Caenorhabditis elegans: one gene and its partners. The protein of the gene in region 1 interacts with the protein of each later gene in a pairwise test. Each region holds a gene or a part of one and is shown on either strand. Other genes may lie near its edges.

Region 1 (5,013 bases):
TGGCAGTTTTTTGTTATTTTTAAAATAAATCAGCAGTGAACTGAAATTTTAAAAAATTCACTGACAGCCTAAAACAGAGAAATAATTTCAGATTAACAGCTTATTTTGTCCGCTGGAATGATTTTTCCCACTAATATTTGAAACATTTTCGAAAATATATGATCTATTTGAAACAATGTTAAGAAGAAAAATTGTTATGTGAAATATCTAAAAATAGTATTTAGAGAAATTTTAGACAAAATAACAGTTAACTAAAAAACTTGAAGAAAATTCAACAACATCTTGAAACAGTTTTTTTTTCGAATATTCATAGTTAAAACTGAAAAAAACAGGATTTTACACAATTTTTTCTTTTTTTTTTAGAATTCATCTTTCTGTTGAATTTTAGCAAAAAAAACTGTATTTAAAATCAATTTTATGTAGAGAACGTCGTTTACAAAACTACATGCTCAAAGAAACATCTAAAGCAGTGGAAAAAAAGTGTCTCCCATTCTTCAGAAAATCTCTCCACAGTAAAAGAACAAAAAGTCATCGGAAATGAGAACGGCGAACGCAATTTATTCATTTGTTCGTCCCCTCTCTTCATCGAGGACATTCTCTCACTCACACCTTTTTAACCTTCTGTCTCACTCTCTATTTCTCCACTCTCTCTACACACTTTGGCAGAGTGCCAACGTGCGGGAAGAGAGTGTGAGACGCAGAGTGGAGAGAGGGAAATGACATATTGTTTTAGATGGTCTCTTGTTTGCCGTGGAGAAATGGACCGTTTGAGACAGGGAAGGGAAGGGTATTTTCGATTACTCACACCTTGCACATCCTTGCATTTCCAGTGACGTCATCGGGAACCAATTGTCAAGTTTTTAAAAATTGCTGTTTTACTGTTTCATTTTATCCTTATCAATTGTGCAATAAAATAACAGCTAATCAGAAACATTTTCTCAAAGTTTTGAAACAGTAATTTTAATTTAAAAATTGAAATTTCTTGAAGTTTTAAAAGCAAATTTATGAATTTTCACCGTTTAATTATTTTGAAATATTAAAAAATTTTCAGGCAAGGATTCCATGTATATTATGAAACTTATATGGGTCAAATTTATTTCAAAGGTTAAGTAACAATAATATGAGTTTAACTTGCAAGTCGTTAAAAAACATATTGAAATAGTTTTTTTTGCCAAAATAAAGTGGCCTCGATAAAACTTTCATTAAGCAAACATTTTTTTTGCAAATTTTGAAGAAAATTAACTTGGAATACACTTAAATAAAAACTGCTATTAAAACATTCAAATGTTCAATTTATTCTTATTTATGGTAGGCTGGTTACATTAAAAAATTTTTAACTTGGTTTTGCAGTTTCAGTTGCATATACATTGTCAAACAAAAATTAGATTTAACTATTTTTGGATCTGATAACCAAAAATGTTCGGAAAAAAGTATAAACCCTTGAAACCGAAACTATTTTTTTCAATTTCTAAAGTTTTGCCGCAACTCAAAAGTTGCAATAAATGACCACTAGCGTCGTCGTTCCAATCCAATGATATACCAATAAAACATAGCCGAAACGAATATTAATGACAATAATAAACATTTTGTAGACCTGGCTGAGAGATAGTGTGGGATTTGGAGAGACGGAAGACACAACACTAATCCGATGCAAAAACGGAAAAAATAGGACGGACTGTTTGTATTTGGCGGCGGTTAGGGTTTTGAAACGGCTTTTTTGGAGGGAATTAAAGAGAGGTGAGATGGGAATATCGGATGAATTAATGGCACTATCTTTAATCAATTTAAGTAGTTTTATCTAAACAATTTGAAACAGTAGAAATTTATTTTTCGCAGTCGAGAATTTTAGAATACCGACTTTATGCAGAATTAGGTTGCTTTTAGAGAAATTATCAACTTTCAAAATATATCTGGTTTCCGACTGCCTTTTTATTTTCGAGAACTAATATGTTAAGCAATAGAAACAGTCGGAAAAAAGTTTCCAAAATTTTTTCCTTGACAAACTCCGATTTTCTATTTTTTAACGAAATATTTTACTACTTTTCAGAAAGAAAATTTTGAAATAGGCAACTTTTAACCAGTAATTTGTTTTACAAAAAGTGGTGGAACAACGGTCAAAAAGTGGTTGATTTCTCTGCGTTTTGTTCAAGAGCGAGAATGTCACTCAATTCAGAGCAGTTTTATCTTAAGGTGTAAAAACAGTAGAAAAAAGTTGATACCAAATTGTAGAACAAAACACTTTCTGTATTATTGCTTTGAATATTTTGGATTTTCATAAATATTTTAAAGAGAAGATCGTAAGCTATGCAGTACTACTAGAAAGGACAGGCACTTAAATCAATATTTAATGGAAAATTAAAGGTTTTATTTGGGAAACTAGAAAAAGTAAAAATAAGTGTTAGATTTTTTAGCTAAAAGCCGAGATTTGCTGTTGTTATGCAGAATTAGTTCGTTTTTGAAAAAATACACTACTTTCGTTTCAGCTTGTCAACGAGACCCTATGAGACTGCCCTTCTATTTTGGAGCAGTTATATCTTAAGAACTAGAAACAGTTTTTTTTTTAATTTTTAAACTTAATTTCTAGTTTCGGAATTTTAACTATTTTTTTAATACGCAATCAGTTATTTCTTTTGTTTTTTTTTAATTTTAAGAGTATCAATTTGAATGTGTGAGATTATTCAGAGAAAAAAATCGAGATCATATATAATAAAAACTTATCTGTTTTTCTTTGATGTCAAAAAGAGCTTAGATATTTTCAGTGATATCTAAGGAACTTGAAACTTTAGAACATTTTGTTGGCTGAAAATTTAATTTTCTTCAAATAAATATGTTCTATGCCCAATTTTTAAGTTAGTTTTTGATCAATTTTTCATTTCTGGTTTTGAAGTTCGATTTCAAAAATAAGTGCTTTTCTATTTCCTTGTACTACTTCTCAAGAACCAGAAACTGCAAAACTTTTTTTTTCAATTTCAAAATTAATTCAAACTTTGAGATCTCTTTCAAACCCCTCCCAAAAATAAAAATTCCAAAAAAAAAAACTAACCTAACTAGCGTATTAATCTGTTCCGAAGTGTACACCTCCTTCTTTCGCATCGTCCTTTTAGCGGTATCCGACATAGCTCCCCACTCGGAGCCATCCGCCTCGGTTCCCTCCTCTGGTATGGGCTCCATTTCTTGCATCCACCCCGAGGAGATCATCTGTAAAATGTTGGGATTTTGAGGAGGAATTATTGATTATTTAAAAAGTGGACGGAGAGTTGAGAGAAAATGTTAACAATGAGACATCAGATATGGTTTTATAACAGTGCTTATGAGTACTATGTGAAAAAGTGAATTTTTTTCAAAATTTTTTTTTAAAACAAAATTTCACCTATTCACATTTTCGATTTATTTTGCAAAAATTTCACGAACAATTACGTGATCTAGTTCCGAATAGAAAAAATAACATTTTGATATGCATTCAGGAATAATTGTAAATTTTAGTATTCTATGGAGAATTCTGTTAAAACCTTGAATTAGCAGTTTTAATAGAAATCTCAAAATTAATTATGACAATTTTAATCAATTTTTGAGTGAAGTGAGAATTTTCATACGAAAAATATATATTTACTGCATCGTAGTACAATTAGTTTTATTATAAAATTAGCTTTTTTTGTGAACATTCTGAAACAGTACTTGTCAGTAGAGTAGAGAACAAAACAGACCGATTTTTGAATAATTCTTGAAACGGCCAGTTTTCTCAAAATCGAAGCGTTTTTCAATTGAAAACAAAACGATTTAAGACATTTCTGAAACGGTGAAATTTGTTTTTTCGAAAATGCAAAAAACTCCACAATTTTTTCCAGAAATCAACGCGTATTCCGGATTTCTAGCAACAAAAAACGTTATGCGACGAAGATAATACATTTTCCTCTTAAGAAATTAACTTTTCAGCAGTTGTAGAAATTTTTTTGAAAAATAATGTTTCAAGTTATCCATTTATTATCGTAAAATTTGCTTCTACATTGAGTACAGCTCACATTCAAAAATTGGTAATTCTTTAAAACTTTCATTGAGAAACTTTCTAACAATCAAAAATTCCTAAATTAATTGAAAAATTTTGAAAACGAATTTGACGATTTTCTGCACAATTTCGGAATTTTCGTAGAAAAATTTCAAAAAAAAGCTTTTTTTAAAAAATATCATTTTTTGAAAAAAAAACCGTAAATTATGAAGAACTGTTAGTAAACCGAGTAATATTACAAAAATGCAGATGAAATTTTGGGAAAAGTCAAACATTTTCATCCAAAAGTCATTTTTTTCAAATTTTTAATAATAATTTTAATTATTCTGTAAGAATTCAACGTAATATGCCACGTGGAAGAAAGTTTAGGATGGAAACAAATCTAATTACTCAAGTAAACACCATACTGCAAGTTAAAAAATTTATTTGTTTATATGTTACTTTTGAAACGGCAAATTTTTTTTCCAAAATTGTCTTTTTTTTAATAGCGAGATTCATGGAAAATATAAAAATGCTCCAAAACTTCTATTTTCGAAAAGAACAGTAAAACCAAAAAAAGCCAAACCAAAAATATCATAATTATTAATCAAAGCACCCGTCTCCCATCGGAGGTGGTAGACAATTGGTGGGTGCAAATAAATTTTTTTTGAGCAAGATTGATGAGCCGCGATTTGGAGGGAGCCGCTGAGGATCCCAGTGGGAAAAGTGTAAGAGAAGGCACTTTTTGGTGGGAAATTTGAAAAAAATTTAGGATTAAAATTGTTTCTGTTTCAAAATGTTTTCAAAGTTAAAGACAAAGTTAATGTGAAGTTTTATCTCAAAATGTTCATTTTAAGCGAGGTTTTGTTTTTAAAATGTTTGCTGTCGAAATGGCTATGCAAATTTTAAATCAAACTCATCAGCTCCTGCCGATTAGGTTTCTTTTCTTCGGTTGTTACATAACCCTACAGTAATCCCTAAAATATTGTAAATAGCGTTTTAGGACTTCTCCCAGCTAAGAGACGCAGACA
Region 2 (5,394 bases), on another chromosome or scaffold:
TTAACATTCGCTTTTTTTAAAATTAAATATAGCAATAAAACACTTAAATTTTAACAAAACTCGAGAGAAACTTCGCAGGAAAGTTTGAAATTACAGTAATTTTTAAAGGCACATGCTCACTTCTCTCAAACTGACTTTGATCGTTGCAGAACCCATGCAAGGGTAGAAGATGTGCGCCTTTACAGTTGGCACATTTTGGAATTAAATTTTCGCAAAAAAAAACCGGATTAAACCGAATCTCCAGAAAAATCGAGAAAACTAACGGAAGAGAAAAAAAGGAAAAACAAAAATAATCGAAATGTTCAAACCGAAGAACGATAATTGTGGTTTCCTTTCATCTTCTTCGTCTTCTTCAGCCCAATTCCCTCCCGCGCATTCCGCCTCATTCGGCTTTTCTGCTGCGTCTCCACGATTCGTGTGATATTTCCCACCGGAATCAGGACGAACATGTCTGCGTGCTACTCGTTTCTCGTACTATTTCGCCGGGGGTCGACAAAAGTCATTTTCAGTCGAAATTTTAGTTCAAGATTAGGAATCTCGATAAATTTCATTCGACAGAAAAAAAAACACATTAAAAATCAGTTTAAGCATGAATTAGTACGTTGAAGGAGAAAGAAAAAGAGAGGGGCTATAGAAATCTGAAAAAAAAGTTGTAGTATTCCTAATACACATTTCGGATATGCTGAAGGGACTGGAATTTCTGGGGCTCACACAACCGAACTTTATCGGGGGGAAATGTTGATGAGAATAATAATTTACTAGAAAAAAATCACAAAAAGAAGCGCAGTTTCCTAGGAAAGAAAGTGTTTAGAGAGGGAGAAAAGAAAAATAAAATCACAGGTCAAATTATGCATTTTTTAGGTGGAAAACTAGTTTTTCAGAGTCCAAGGAGGTCGTCAAGTCCAGACGAAGACGAATTGACTGTAACCGGTGGCGGTGCCGAGGCGAACATATCGAAAAGATCATTGTTGGCGGCAGTGTTGGATTGTGCCGGCATCGGTGACGCTCTATTAGAGGAAATTGGTGCCGCTTGGTGATGAATTGCACTTTGTCCGTAGTTTGTCTTCATTACCTGGAAAAAAAAATTATAATAGGTTAATTTTTTTTTTCAAGAAATATCGAATCAGGTTCGACTTTTTTTAGTTTAATGATCGAAATTTTTTTCAAAACTTTACTTTTTTTTTCAAAAAATTGCATCAAATTGCTGGTTTTTTTCCAAAAAAAATTGTGAAATTATTCAATAAAAAATGTGAATTCTTTTCGGTACAAAAACCTAGGAAATTTGAAACAAAAATCCAAATTAATTGTGCTTTTGGATGTTTTTTCCGGAACTTTCTAGTTAATAATTCATGCAAAAATTGGTAAAAAATGATATGATTTTTTCTTGATTATACTCGTTTATTTTTCAACGAAAATCAGACAATTTTTTCTGAAAAATAAGGTATTTTGCTTGAAAAAAAAGCATAAAGCGAGAGTTATCGAAAAACGGGTATTTTGTTTGGAAAAAAATTTTAATTTTGAATTTTTTGCTAAATTTCTAGTTTTTTTCTTCAATATATCTAGAATTTTAACGCTCAAAAGTGCCAAAATTGTACCTTTCCAAGTGCCAAATCAGCGAAAGCATTCGATTTATTCGGAATATTGAATCCTTGTGATCCAGTTGGTGAAGTAGGCGTTGGTTTAGACTGCATACTCATTCCACCGAATCCACTGGAAGACATTGCTCCAAATTGAGCAGCTCCAAAGTATTGTGGTGGAGCCATTGGTGGGATTTGAGACATTTGAGCCGATGGTGGTGGTGCTCCAAAATTGATACCCGACAGTCCTCCAAACATATCATTTTGTTGTGGAGCTGGAGCTGGAGCCCCGAATTGGTGGAACGAAGAAGCTTGTTGCGGGATTTGAGCCGGAGCAGCTTGCAGTCCAAATCCGGCAAATCCTCCGGGAGCAACTACATTCGGAGCCGATATGCCACCAGATGGGCCGAAAAGCGAAAGAATATCTGCGTTGGTTTTCTTTTGATCACTTCCATTTGTCGCTGGAGCCGTTGAGGAGAGAGCGGTGAGATCTGAAAAGGAAAAATCATTTAAAAAAATTATTTACAAAAGTGAAAAACAAATGAATTTTGGTTCCCGCTTGTTCGATTTTCCAAGGTCCCGAAAAATGACTTTTTTTTTGGATAAAAATTAGGAATTGAAATTTGGTTCAATTTTCATACATTTTTCCTCAATTTTTTGATTATCTTTTTTTGCGACAAAGACCAGGTGAAAATTCAATACCATCGAGGCCAGAAGAAGCTGAAGGCGCTGCAGCTGCTGTCGTTGGAGCCGATGAGAAATCGGCGAATCCTCCTCCAAGAGATTGAGCATTCTGTTGAGCATTTTGTGAGTTCGCCGAGACAAATGATCCGAAATCGTCGAAATCATCGTTGAGAGCAGCTGGAGCTGCTGCCGGAGCCGCTGGTCCTAGACTTAATCCATCAAAGTCGTCGAATAAGTTGACGGCCTTCTTAGCAGGAGTTGTGCTGGCTGGAGGATCAGAAAAATCTAGAAGCGATGGAGCAGCAGCAGCAGCTGAAGCCGTCGAATGTCCATTGCTAGAGCTACTTCCACGTGATGCAATGTTCACAACGGGCGTTCCGACCTTCTTCTGTGCCTGAGACAATGATTTCGGCAGCTGGCTCGCGTCAACTCTTGGATACACGAAATCTCGCAGAATATACCGTTTCTGTTCATACTTGCTCCGAATGAATTGTTCCATTTGCTGATCATTGGTGGGCCGCCGAAATTGCGCTGGTAGATCATGTTCGTAGACTTGTCGGGCCTTCTCGTTGCCCATCACCCGCATCGTCTGCACTTGTTCGGGCGTCCACGAGTCCAGATTCACTGAGCGCACTTTTGAGATGTGAACGCCGAGGTTACGGTGGATGCCGGCGCATCGGATGCAGATGAAGACGCCGAGGTTCCAGGCAGCCCATCTGAAATAAATATTGATTTTTTGTTGTTATTTCTGCAATTTTTGCAATCCTGGCACGGTTTTTGGGGTAAATTTTGAAATTTGTGGATTTATCGGAATAATTCCTTGGACCAATAAATCCGCGAAGGTTTTGCATTGACAAAAAAAGTCTAAAAACTGTAACCAAGCGGAAAAATAATTTTTGACTTTTTTCAGTTTTCGAAAGAATTATTCCGGCAAACCTGTAAATTTACTGCAATAACGATTTTAAGCCGAAATATACTATATTAAATTCGCGAATTTCCAGATTTTCGTCTCAAATTCTCACCTTGGCGTTTTCGCCTGACAATCGGCACAATACTTGTTCTCCTCTTCCTTGAGCATGTCCAACAGGAAGCCTTGCAGTCTTTCCTGCTCTTCCTTCTTCGGATCCACTTTACCTCGCAGCATTTGTGCTTCTGAAACTGAAAAACCTTGAACTCGATGGAAATGAAAATGCGGAAACGTGATGTTGAAAATGATAAGAGAGAAAAGGGCAACTCAATCAATATTCGACGACGATGACGCGTGGGAAATTGGGAAATGCACAAAAGAGGAGATAATATGAAAAAATGATAAATTCTGAGCTTCCTCGAGTTCCACTGAAATTTGAGAAGAACGTGTGTGTGAGGCCAGTAACCCGAATAATCAATGAAGTCGGCTCCAGCTTCACGGAGCCGGTGTCAGGCTCTCGCGCAAATGAGGGCGTGTGTGAGGACAGAGGCGAGAGACGGAGAGACGCAGACACTCTTTGTCTGTGAATACGCCGAATTTGACGCAAAGTGGGAATTATTGGAGAATTATAATGACGTGGCCATGGCATTTTATTAGAAGTACAGGATTTTCAAGCTACGAAAATTCACGAATTAATCAAGGAAAATATACATTTTGGAGCAAAAAAACCAAAAAAGATTTATTGACAGTTATGCACAAATGATTCAAGTAAAGTACAGAGAGAGAGAGAGAGAGAGAGAGAGAGAGAGATTATTATTATTATTTCGTCCAGGAAACTTTTGGAATGTCGTTGAATTCTGTCATCTCGCCGAGCTGCTTGTTCAACTTCTCCACCTTTTCACGATGACTCAACGCCGCCTGTTTCAGCATTCTTTCCGCCTGAAATTATGTGAATTTTAAGTATTAAAAAAAAAAGCGCCTACCATGTTCGCCTGTCTTCTAGCCTCGAACCGAAGCTCAGCCTCGGTTTTGTGTGGCCCACCGCCGGAAGTGTTTCTGGAATCTCTGGGACCGTTAGCTGTCTGGTTTCGGATTACACATACCTTCTGATCGTCATGTCAACTTGCTTCAAGTCCATAGCTGGCTTACTCTTTTTAGTCTTCTTTGGCGCTTCTGTCGATACTTTTTTCAACTTGAGAGATCCTTTGACGACTGTGTCTTTCATTGTTCTGAATATGAAAATTGTGAACCAGTGTCTACCTTCTATCGAGCTTTTGCAAGATATTTTAATGATTGAAACATAATGAGAACACTGGAAAAAAGTTTAAATTAATCATCGTTCATTCGAGTCATAAAAATATTGGGAGTGGGCGAAAGAAAAGATCATTGTACAGGAAATTACGAAACGGGGCAGGATAATTTAGTGATTGATACACAGATTATTGCTCAGACTCGTATGTCTCCCCTTCTCCGGCGAACTCGTCGAGTGGCTCGTCTTCGGCGGTAGCTTCCTGGTATTGTTGGTACTCCGAGATCAAGTCGTTCATGTTGCTTTCAGCCTCGGTGAACTCCATCTCGTCCATACCCTCACCAGTGTACCAATGAAGGAAGGCCTTTCTGCGGAACATGGCGGTGAATTGCTCCGAGATACGCTTGAAGAGCTCCTGGATAGCAGTGGAGTTTCCGACGAAGGTGGCAGCCATCTTGAGTCCACGTGGTGGGATGTCGCACACAGCAGTCTTGACGTTGTTTGGAATCCATTCAACGAAGTACGAGGAGTTCTTGTTCTGGACACTGAGCATCTGCTCGTCAACCTCCTGAAAAACAAAGCATATAGTGAAAAGTTACAAGCAATCGATGAACTTACTCTCATGGACATGCGTCCACGGAACATAGCAGCAACGGTGAGGTATCTTCCGTGTCTTGGATCGCAAGCAGCCATCATGTTCTTGGCGTCGAACATTTGTTGAGTAAGCTCGGCGACAGTCAATGCACGGTAAGCCTGAGCTCCCTTGGCGGAGAGTGGAGCGAATCCAGGCATGAAGAAATGAAGACGTGGGAATGGAACCATGTTGACAGCCAACTTGCGAAGATCAGCGTTCAGCTGTCCAGGGAAGCGGAGGCAGGTAGTCACTCCAGACATTGTGAGAGACACGAGATGGTTCAGGTCTCCGTATGTTGGGTTGGTGAGCTTTAGAGTTCTGTAGCAGATATCGTAGAGAGCCT
Region 3 (4,513 bases), about 15 Mb from region 1:
AAGGTCCAGAAAAAACAAACAAACCACGTCATTTCCGCTTTTGGGATTAAGGATTTAAAATGATTTTTTTTGCAAATTTGGACTATTAAAAAGTGGGAGAAATCTATGAAAAAAGAAATTCAACCCGAAAAGTTTCTAACATGTTTTTCAAAAGGTTTGCCACTAAGCCAAATGCGCTGCAAAGATTTCACAATGCTTTAATAATTTCCATTTATAAGAAAGATTGTAAGTTTCGAAATGTAATTGTTTTATTTTAAAACAAACTGTTAGAGCTGAAAAATCACTATATTATCTGCCCTGAACCAACAAAAGAAGTTTCAATTTTAATTCCACAGGCGTTTTCTTGATATTCATTTTTAAAAAAGTTCAATTTCACAACCGCGGTATAGACAAAGCTTCCTCATCCCGTTCTCCAAAAAAAAAAATTATTGATTTTTTCAGAACCACATCAGCTCGGGAACCCACTCGCATTCCCTGCCAACACCGCCATCAACACCACTTTAGCATCATTTGTTTCATCATATCAGTAGTAGATTGTTAGAATCCAAAGTTTTTTCCCTATTTTTGTGATCTCAGCTGTTTTCTGTATAAATTGAAAAAAAACCCTCGCCTAAAATTCTGAATTTTGCCAAAAACCGATATTTTTTGTGTCATTTTCATTAAATGTTCAATTTTTCCGTCTCATTTCATAATTTGCATTTCTCGATTTCCTATTTGTTTCACTTTTTGTCCTTTGACCCCATTTTTCCACACTAATCGGGTAGTTTTTTTGGTTCTTTATATGTCAAATGAATATTTTTTTTGGTTCAAAGTACGATATATATTTATTGATTGACTGAAGAAAACAATTTTTAAAGAAAAAAATCGATAAAATAGTTGGCCACGTGGAATTAGTTGAATTACACTCTTCTCGAGGTGCAGCACACGCATTGAAGAGCACGGTCTGGCTGAAAAAAAATAAATTTGGCAGGGTTTCAAAAGTTGTGAGCTCACCGAGTTTAAGTCGTCGTCCTTCTTGTGGTGCTTCTTGTCGGCGGACAGCTTCGGGTCGAAGATCATCAGAATTCCGACGACTTTCTGCAAAATTGGAGAGATTTTTGGGGGGAAAACGAGCTTCAGGCAACTAAAAACGAGCTTTTAAACTCGGAAAAATGTTCTCAGATACACTAAAAATTGCTTTGCAACCTCAAATATGTTTCGTAGAGGCAAAAGAGCTTAGGCCTCAAAATTTGCTTAAAAACTGCGTTAAAATTACAAAAAATGATTTTCAGACGCTAAAAACAGTTTCTAGACCTTAAAACAGGTGGAACTAAGTTTAAGCCTAATCCTAAGCCTAAGCCTATGCCTAACTTTAAGCCTAAGCTTGTGCCTAAGCCTAAGTCTCAGCTTAAGCCTAAGCCTTAGCCTAAGCCTAAGCCTAAACCTAAGCCTAAGCCTAAACCTAAGTCTAAAAATAAACCAAAGCTATAGCTCTGACCCGCACTAACCGATGAGCTTCCAGCGGCACGGGACGAGATGGAGCAGCAGTTCTGGCACGACTCCTGCGAGTAGATGGCGGTGTTTCTGCAAGCCTGACGCTCGAACGGGCGTGGTCTCTGGATGAAGGATGGTCCGTAGGCTGGAGCATCGTATTGCTGGTTGTTGTTGTAGTTGGAATCTTGAGCTGGGGTTCCGTAGGCTTGTCTCTTCACGCGGTCGCCTCTGTGGTGACCGCGATGGTGCTCTAGAAGTTTTAAGGTGAACGGGACCCGTAGGAAAGTTGTTAAAACTAACTTCTAAGACCGACAAGTGGGAAGGAAGCGTGGACAGAGCAATAGTTGACGTCAAAGTTTGGGAACTGGTAGACTGGGTATTGGGGTTGGTTGTAGGATGGTCCGTTGTCGTAGCCACCGCCATAGTGAGCTCCAGCTGGGGCGTCCTTGACGTCGGATTGCTGGAAAATTGGACATAAAATTTTATTCGCTCATACTTACTGATAATTTTTTTCTAGTACTAAATTCTAAACTAGTCTAGATTCAAAGGTAGGTATTGATTACGTTCCTATACTAATAGTAAGCTACCTAGAACAAGTACTTCAAATGAATGATGGTAAATATTAAAAGCTAAACAATTATTACACTTTCAGTATTTAACAGTTACTACTTAATCTCAAAAGTATTTAATTAGTCCTAATATACCTCCCTGAATACTATTCAATATACATGCCTACTTATAGTATTACCTTTGTATCGGATTAAATAATGTGCCATATTCGTAACGTGTTTAATTTGAATTAGACCTACATCCTATTTAAGGTACATATATTTAAGGTCTAGCTACATCTAGCCACAGTAACTCCAGGAGCAGAACCTAGGTAAAAGAAACTAGTTAAATGTATACTAACCTTCCTAATAAGTTGAATTCTATTAAATATATCTACGCTTAATCAACATAGCATTTCATCAAGAAATCTTATTACCTCTAAATTTTCTGTCCGATTCAAGTTACACCTTAGCAAGTAATCTTATTTAGACTTACTATTTAGGATATCACAATATAGTATAGGTAACCCTTACGTGATACATACTAATGCACACGTGATACGGAATAAACCTAATCTTAATAACTTGAATACAACTAATTATACCTACTGACAATACATCAAGATTTAGTCAAATATCTATAACAGCTTTACTTTTTAACGTGTCTAAATCAAGTTATCTATCAAGCTACAGTAACCTTACAGTCCGTTTTTCCTAGTTCCAACAGAACCAACAGTAACGCTTACCTTCTCAGGAGCCTCGGTGCTCACAGCGCAGGTGACAGCGGCGCAAAGTGCCAGAGACGCGACGATCCAAGTGGTGGAAAACATGATGATGATCGGAGCCAAGATGCTTCGCCGCTTTTATACTTGAGATCCGCCAGAGATATGGAGGCGGGAACTCGGCATTGTAGTTTGAGGGGAAAACGTTAGGCGTTGGATAAAAAACAAAAAGGTTTGGAGCGCAAAAATGTTTGCTACGGAACCTGGAATTAAATCTCACAGCTGTGGTAACTGAGCCAACAAGTCAAAAGGCTCCAATACATGGTGAATCACTCGGACTTGATCAACTGGAAAAATGTTCCTTAACAGTTTTTCTACAGTGTTCTAGTTCAAAATGTGTTGATTTTCTCAAAATACACTTTGCTAAAAGATACACAAATTAGTTCTTTGAACCCCGCTGGATCTCAGACACATGTTGCAACACATCCTTAGGTCACTTTTTTTTCGACCGACTATTTTTTTCAGCTTTTCCATTTTCTTTTTTCTTCGCTGCTCAATCCATCACACATTCCGCTGGGCTCTTTTTCCTGCCGGCCGCAGCCGCCGCCCACCTGATTGCAACATGTTATATGAGAAATGGGATGATTGAGTGGGCTTGGAATTTCAGACATTTCAGATGATTTCATATGGAGCAACTCGTGATGGGTGAAAGTGCAATTGAATGAGAATGGAGAAATGTGCAAATACCTGGAATTTGGGCATGAAATAGATAATTAACGTATTATGTGAAAAATTTGTCTGACAAGGAAAGTAAGTTAATCTAGTCCCGGACTTCGAATCGAGACGTATGTCATTTGAAAGCTTATGGTTAGCCTAGATCACCGCAAAAATTTCAGATTTTTGGAAAAAAATAAAAATTTCCAAAAAGCTTCCACACTGTTTGTTTGACCCTAAAGACCCCCAAAAACAATTTTTAACCGCTCTAGCCACTTTTAAGGCCATTTACTTGACCTAGAATTCAGCAAAAAAATGCACTGGAGCACTTTCAGATGGCGCTTTCAGGGGTTCAGAGTTGAGTTCCGCCGCTGAAATTTTTTTGGTGATCTAGTCTAAACATAAGCTTTCAAAGGCATATGTCCTGATTCAAAGTCCGGGACTAGATTGACTTCCTTTCCTTGTGAATTGAAAGCTTTGGAGTGATTTATAGTGTTCCTAATGGATTTCTCTATGGATTTGCCAATAAAATTTCAACAATTTACATATCAATGAGCAAATTGCAAACACGTAAAATATGCATTACATAGTTTTACAAAGTTTTGTAATAAATTGATATTTATAAAAATACATAAGAGGGATACGAGCTGCTGAACAAAAATGCTGATTATGGTGCATTGAGAGTAGTTTTATTGTAAAATTTTGGCAGTAGGTTTTACATGCATTATTTATGCTTCAGATTCCCTTCTTTTTGGTGCATCGATGAAAAATTTACTGATCAACTTTAACAGTTCATATCTTCGTAGCCTTTGGTTTTATCAAAAAATTATCAACTGGCAAGTTATTTATTATTACTTTTTCTATAACTGTCTAGTTACAATTTTTTTGATATCTTGAAAATTAGCCGAGATATGGTGCAAATCTATCGATCATCTTTTCAATGTTTCCTCTTTTTTCCCCGTTCCATCAACTCAGACATTTCTACTTTCATCTTCCTCAAGCTTTTCCTCTTGATTTTTTTTTCTGTAGGCGGAGCCCATCCCATGTTCCCCCCGA
Region 4 (4,696 bases), on another chromosome or scaffold:
CAGAATTTATTCAACAAAAATCAAGTCGAGGAGCTACGTGCGAAGAAATGCGAAGCCGAACGTAAACTTCTTGGATTCAAACGTCTTGATCTTCTTTTATGGGTTGAGGTTTCACCAGAGCGTAACCAAATTCCGCTCATTCTTGACGTGAAAACGATTTCTGATGCTCTCAATATTTTGTAATTATTTCTATTGCTTGCTACCTGAATTCACGTGTACCACAATATAGTCATGTATTATTTAATTGTTCTTGTTTTTTTGTTGTTTCCAAATACAATACAACTGTTTTAAGCTTTTTCTTTCGTTAAAATTTCTTTAAAACAGAAATGTAACAAAAAACATAAATTTAAACAAACTGTATGGAAAACTGTACAGTTTTCGATACAACGAGAGTTTGAAACTACAGTACTCTTTAAAGGGTCATGCCATTTTCGAATTCATCAAAAGTTCGTCGGGTCGAGACATACATACTACAGTAAGAAATGTAATATTCTCATAAAGCTCAAAACAATGTATTTATAACCCAATCAACAGCATTTAGACCGGACTATATTTTTCCTATCGGGATCTCCCTTTGTTTTGAAACAGACGATTAAAACTCAAAAAACGCAAAGTAAAATTGAAATTCGTTCATTTTGTTAATGATCGAAATATTTAGGTTACATCAGTATAAAAGGTTTGCATAAGGCAATAAAAATAACGTTATTTTACATGAAATGTTAGAATAGAATTATATGTCTAGTTCATAGACATCTGGGACACGTCACCCAAGAGAGTCCGTTGCTGCACGGCCGATCCGATGTTAGTACTGCGCATCTTTGAGGCGAATTCGATGCTTCTCTTGGACTCTGTCGCTTGCTCGTTGCATGGATTGAGATTGACCACAACCATAGTCTTCGAGTTGCCACGTCCCAAGCAGTCCATCAGCACTTGTGTCAGTTTGCTGTCGCGATATGAAACATGTCCCTTCTGGGATCTTTGCTGGCTGATGCACATCTGAAGGATAGACAACGACTGGTTGATATTAGTCATCTCCTTGAACTGGTCGCCACTGACACCAGACTCCTTGGCACGTTCGGATCCTGCGAGATCCACAAGTTTGAGCTGGCACGATGTTGAAATTCCTGTATATCAATATTGTGAATTAATTATTTTTATTTTCGAAAGTTACCAGTTGATGGCTGATGAGCTGTAATCTTCCACATATAAACGGCGTGCGAACGAGACGAGCTCTCATTGCACTTTGTCGCCGCCGTCTTCCTGCCACCGTCTGCTACACGAAGAAGTCTAGCCACATCCGAGACATTGGAAATCGTGTGCTCGGAGAGCCCAATCATGGAAACCGTTTGATCGTTCAAACGAAGTTGGACAACGGCGCGGTCACTGAGAAGGTCGTATGCCACGTTGTTGTAGACTTCTAGGAAAGACAACGAGAAGTCGAATTTCCATCCAAGTGACTCGAGCTTTCTGGATTCGGCGAACAGAAATGCAGCTGCTCTCGGGATGATTCCTTCCTCTTCACCATTTCCTCCTCGCATCGTGTGAGTTTTGCCACTTCCGGTTTGTCCATAGGCAATCAATCCGACGTTGTACCCATGCAGTGACGACTGAAATTATCAATTTTCAATTATTAATATTATATTTTGAAACTAACCCGAATGAACTCCTCGACGTTCGCGAACACTTCCTTCTGCGAGAAGACTGGCGTGAAAACCTTCTCGAATTTGACCACAATTCCAGGCTTCGAGCCTTCATTGATTCTGATGGTATCGATAGCCGGATACTCAATTGCAGAACTCGAGGCGTCGGCTTCAGATTTGATCAACGGCCGAACGCGAACAGCCACACGAATTTGACCGCGTAAATCGACAACATCGTTGTGCAACTTTCTCAACTCAGCTTCCTTTTCGTTGAGCAGATCCCGGAGATCGTTGTTGTGCACACGATAATCCTCGCACTCCTCCACTTTCGCCTTGTTGACTTCTTTCAGCGTGCTCAATTGATCTTGCAGTGAAATCAGCTTGCGATCCGCTCCTTCAAGTTTGCCATCCAGGATTTGGATCTTGCTCTTCTGATGTTCAGCAAAGTCGGTAGCCTCAGCCATCGCACTCTCGAGCTGCGCAATTTTCTCTTCAAGAAGCGCCATCTTAGAAGGGAGAATAGGCTTCTGTGCCACTGGTCGGGCTCTTGTCACCGACGGCTTCAGGGAAGAAGTCGCAGTTGAGCGTTGAGTGGATGGTGGCGGTGGACGACCTGTGCGAAGTTGTCGAAACGTAGAAGCTGCCGTCAGTGTGGAAATACGGCTCGCGGTGGATTGCATCGTTGGTATGGGACGGGAACACGACGCTGGTTTGGCCATCGCTGATCGTTCTGGCAACGATGCTCTACCAGTTGCAGGCGTTGTGGGGGTAGGCAAACGAGACGGAGGACGACGAGCAGCGGCTGAAAACTCGTAATTAAAGTAGTTGTTAACAAAAAAGGTTTTAAACAAAAACAAAAACATGTTTTATTTAGAAGTGTGAACACTTTGAAATCACGAGGAAGTTATTTAAAAACACAAATGACAAATTTACCTCCAATCGTTATTCCTCCAGGAGCCGACTGTCTTGGGATTGTTGTTGAATTGGCTTCTTTGGTGGATGGCGCGGCAGCACGTCCTCTTGTGATCTTCGGCGTTGCTCCGATAGTCGACCGAAACAGGCCACTTCTTCTTCGAGCGACATTCATCGCGAAATTTGGGACAAAAATGAGGAAATCAGCCCCTTCATTGACATTTTCCCGCTCAAAGTTGAACTCCGCCTCTGAAAATTCCCGCCAAATCGAATGGATTACCGTAGTCAACTACGGTATTAGATCAAAAATTTATATCATGTTGAGCTCATCCAGAATTGTCGGATATAATTATTTTGTTGTCAAAAGGCATAAAGAATGCCGTAAAAATTATTTATAACTATAACACAGAAGGCTTATCCATAATTGCACTGATATCAGGTTATACAAACAAATATATAAAATGCAGGTCTAGAAATTATAATGTGAGCGACACTCCGATATTCCGGTGCGCGCCTTGTTTACCGTATATCTACACCAAAGTAATTGCAAAAAAAAAATTTGAAAATATTTGCTTGCGAAAATTTTTATACACTTTCTTCAATATTTTGATTTTTCTGTGGTTTTTTAAAAATATAGGTTGGTAAATGATTGTTTCCAGATGACTTCTATCGATGTAACAGAGATTATCAAATCATCGACATCTTCTTTGTATCAGGTAAATTGATATTAAATTTTTTTGATTATAAATAGTTTACAGCCAGCAAGAAAGAAATCTCGTTTTGACGATAGTGCTTCTTCTTCATCTCAAGCTGGCCAGCCAAAACCAGAAGATATTCTTGCGGCTTTGGAAGCCGATCAATCAAATTATGTGGCTCTCGACGATGTGCAAGTTAAGAAACTTGTTATTCAACTTGACAAAAAGATGCGATTAAATCGAGAACAAAGAGTTAAAAATCCAGATGATGCTCAGAAATTCATGGAATCGGAAATTGAATTAGACAAGGCAATTCAAGAAATGCATAGTCTGGCTTCTCAACCAGACCTTTATGGATCGTTTGTTGAAGTCAACGGAGTTGAAATTCTTCTTCAATTATTAGGACACGAGAATACTGATATTGTGTGTGCAACACTTAGTCTCTTGAGAGAACTTACAGACGATGATGTGATGAACGAAGGAGAAGATGGAGCAGCTGAACTTATTGAAAGTCTTGTGTCTGGATCGATTATCACAACTTTGTTAGCATGCGTAGAGAGGCTCGATGAAAGCGTCAAAGATGAAGCGGATGGCGTCCATAATGCACTCGGAGTTGTGGACAATGTAAGAAAAATCGATATTTGAAAAACAAAACAATATATTTTCAGATGATTGGTTTCCGCGATGACATTACTGAAGAATGCGTAAAGCACGGATTCACGGTTTGGCTTCTGAAAAGATGCTTTCAGAAAGGTGCATTTGATGCGAATAAGATGTACGCTTCGGAACTTCTTTCAGTCATATTGCAGACTTCTGATACTGCAAAGGCAAAGCTGACAGAGAAAATTGATGGCATCGATATTTTATTGAGAGTGAGTAGCCAAACAAAGTATCAAGAATAAATTGAACTTTTAAGACCATTGCTGTGTACAAAAAGAACGATCCAGCAAATGTAGACGAACGAGAATACATGGAAAATCTATTCAACTCACTTTGTGCCGCACTTATGCATCCGGCTAATCGAAGTACGAATTTTTTTGAATATAAACACCAAAAAAATTGCTCTTGTTCAAAATAAATGTTTTCAGAAAAGTTCCTCGACGGAGAAGGTCTTCAATTGATGAATTTGATGCTCCGAGAGAAGAAACAAGCAAGACAAAGTGCTCTGAAAGTTCTGAACCATGCAACATCAGGAGACGAGGGAATCGAAAATTGCAATAAACTTGTCGAAATGCTCGGATTGAGAACAATTTTCCCGTTATTCATGAGAACACCTTCAAAGACAAAAAGAAAGGATACGACACCTGATGAACATGAAGAACACGTTTGTACGGTAAGATTTATGTTGTGATATTATTTTGAATGTTTTAGCTTCAAAATTGGACTGGTAAATCGGACTTTCGGTTTTTCTCCTTTTTTGAACAAAAATTGAGTTTTCAAATCTGCCTT

The links.
Region 2: the proteins of jac-1 (region 1) and smap-1 interact in a two-hybrid assay, tested with the Caenorhabditis elegans proteins (one large-scale study listed by BioGRID).
Region 3: the proteins of jac-1 (region 1) and perm-2 interact in a two-hybrid assay, tested with the Caenorhabditis elegans proteins (one large-scale study listed by BioGRID).
Region 4: the proteins of jac-1 (region 1) and klp-15 interact in a two-hybrid assay, tested with the Caenorhabditis elegans proteins (one large-scale study listed by BioGRID).

What each region holds. Positions count from the first base shown.
Region 1 is NC_003282.8:16,023,650-16,028,662, forward strand, and holds the start of jac-1 (Fibronectin type-III domain-containing protein), read right to left. Parts: upstream 3,199-5,013; coding exon 3,044-3,198; intron 2,905-3,043; exon of another isoform or gene 2,880-2,904; intron 2,784-2,879; exon of another isoform or gene 2,763-2,783; intron 2,740-2,762; exon of another isoform or gene 2,719-2,739; intron 2,507-2,718; exon of another isoform or gene 2,486-2,506; intron 2,341-2,485; exon of another isoform or gene 2,320-2,340; intron 2,158-2,319; exon of another isoform or gene 2,131-2,157; intron 1,980-2,130; exon of another isoform or gene 1,959-1,979; intron 1,922-1,958; exon of another isoform or gene 1,901-1,921; intron 1,773-1,900; exon of another isoform or gene 1,749-1,772; intron 1,403-1,748; exon of another isoform or gene 1,382-1,402; intron 1,119-1,381; exon of another isoform or gene 1,095-1,118; intron 946-1,094; exon of another isoform or gene 925-945; intron 914-924; exon of another isoform or gene 888-913; intron 247-887; exon of another isoform or gene 223-246; intron 131-222; exon of another isoform or gene 110-130; intron 1-109. UniProt on the Caenorhabditis elegans protein: May act as a positive modulator of hmr-1 function during epidermal morphogenesis. Required for proper localization of other junctional components, such as pac-1.
Region 2 is NC_003281.10:10,736,374-10,741,767, forward strand, and holds smap-1 (Arf-GAP domain-containing protein), read right to left. Parts: upstream 3,420-5,394; 5' UTR 3,406-3,419; coding exon 3,284-3,405; intron 2,978-3,283; coding exon 2,280-2,977; intron 2,069-2,279; coding exon 1,596-2,068; intron 1,073-1,595; coding exon 878-1,072; 3' UTR 520-877; downstream 1-519. Other genes in the region: tass-1 (Protein FAM32A), read right to left, coding at 3,988-4,107, 4,152-4,233, 4,272-4,393; tbb-1 (Tubulin beta chain), read right to left, coding at 4,608-4,985, 5,036-5,394.
Region 3 is NC_003282.8:1,125,139-1,129,651, reverse strand, and holds perm-2 (uncharacterized protein), read right to left. Parts: upstream 2,863-4,513; 5' UTR 2,852-2,862; coding exon 2,768-2,851; intron 1,934-2,767; coding exon 1,774-1,933; intron 1,724-1,773; coding exon 1,488-1,723; intron 1,078-1,487; coding exon 994-1,077; intron 948-993; coding exon 900-947; 3' UTR 787-899; downstream 1-786. Other genes in the region: C44B12.6 (Clip domain-containing protein), read left to right, coding at 442-504.
Region 4 is NC_003279.8:5,576,455-5,581,150, forward strand, and holds klp-15 (Kinesin motor domain-containing protein), read right to left. Parts: upstream 2,741-4,696; 5' UTR 2,728-2,740; coding exon 2,574-2,727; intron 2,443-2,573; coding exon 1,655-2,442; intron 1,608-1,654; coding exon 1,172-1,607; intron 1,125-1,171; coding exon 739-1,124; 3' UTR 616-738; downstream 1-615. Other genes in the region: rmh-1 (RecQ-mediated genome instability protein 1 homolog), read left to right, coding at 4-183; ctnb-1 (Beta-catenin-like protein 1 N-terminal domain-containing protein), read left to right, coding at 3,212-3,268, 3,311-3,871, 3,916-4,119, 4,164-4,272, 4,336-4,580.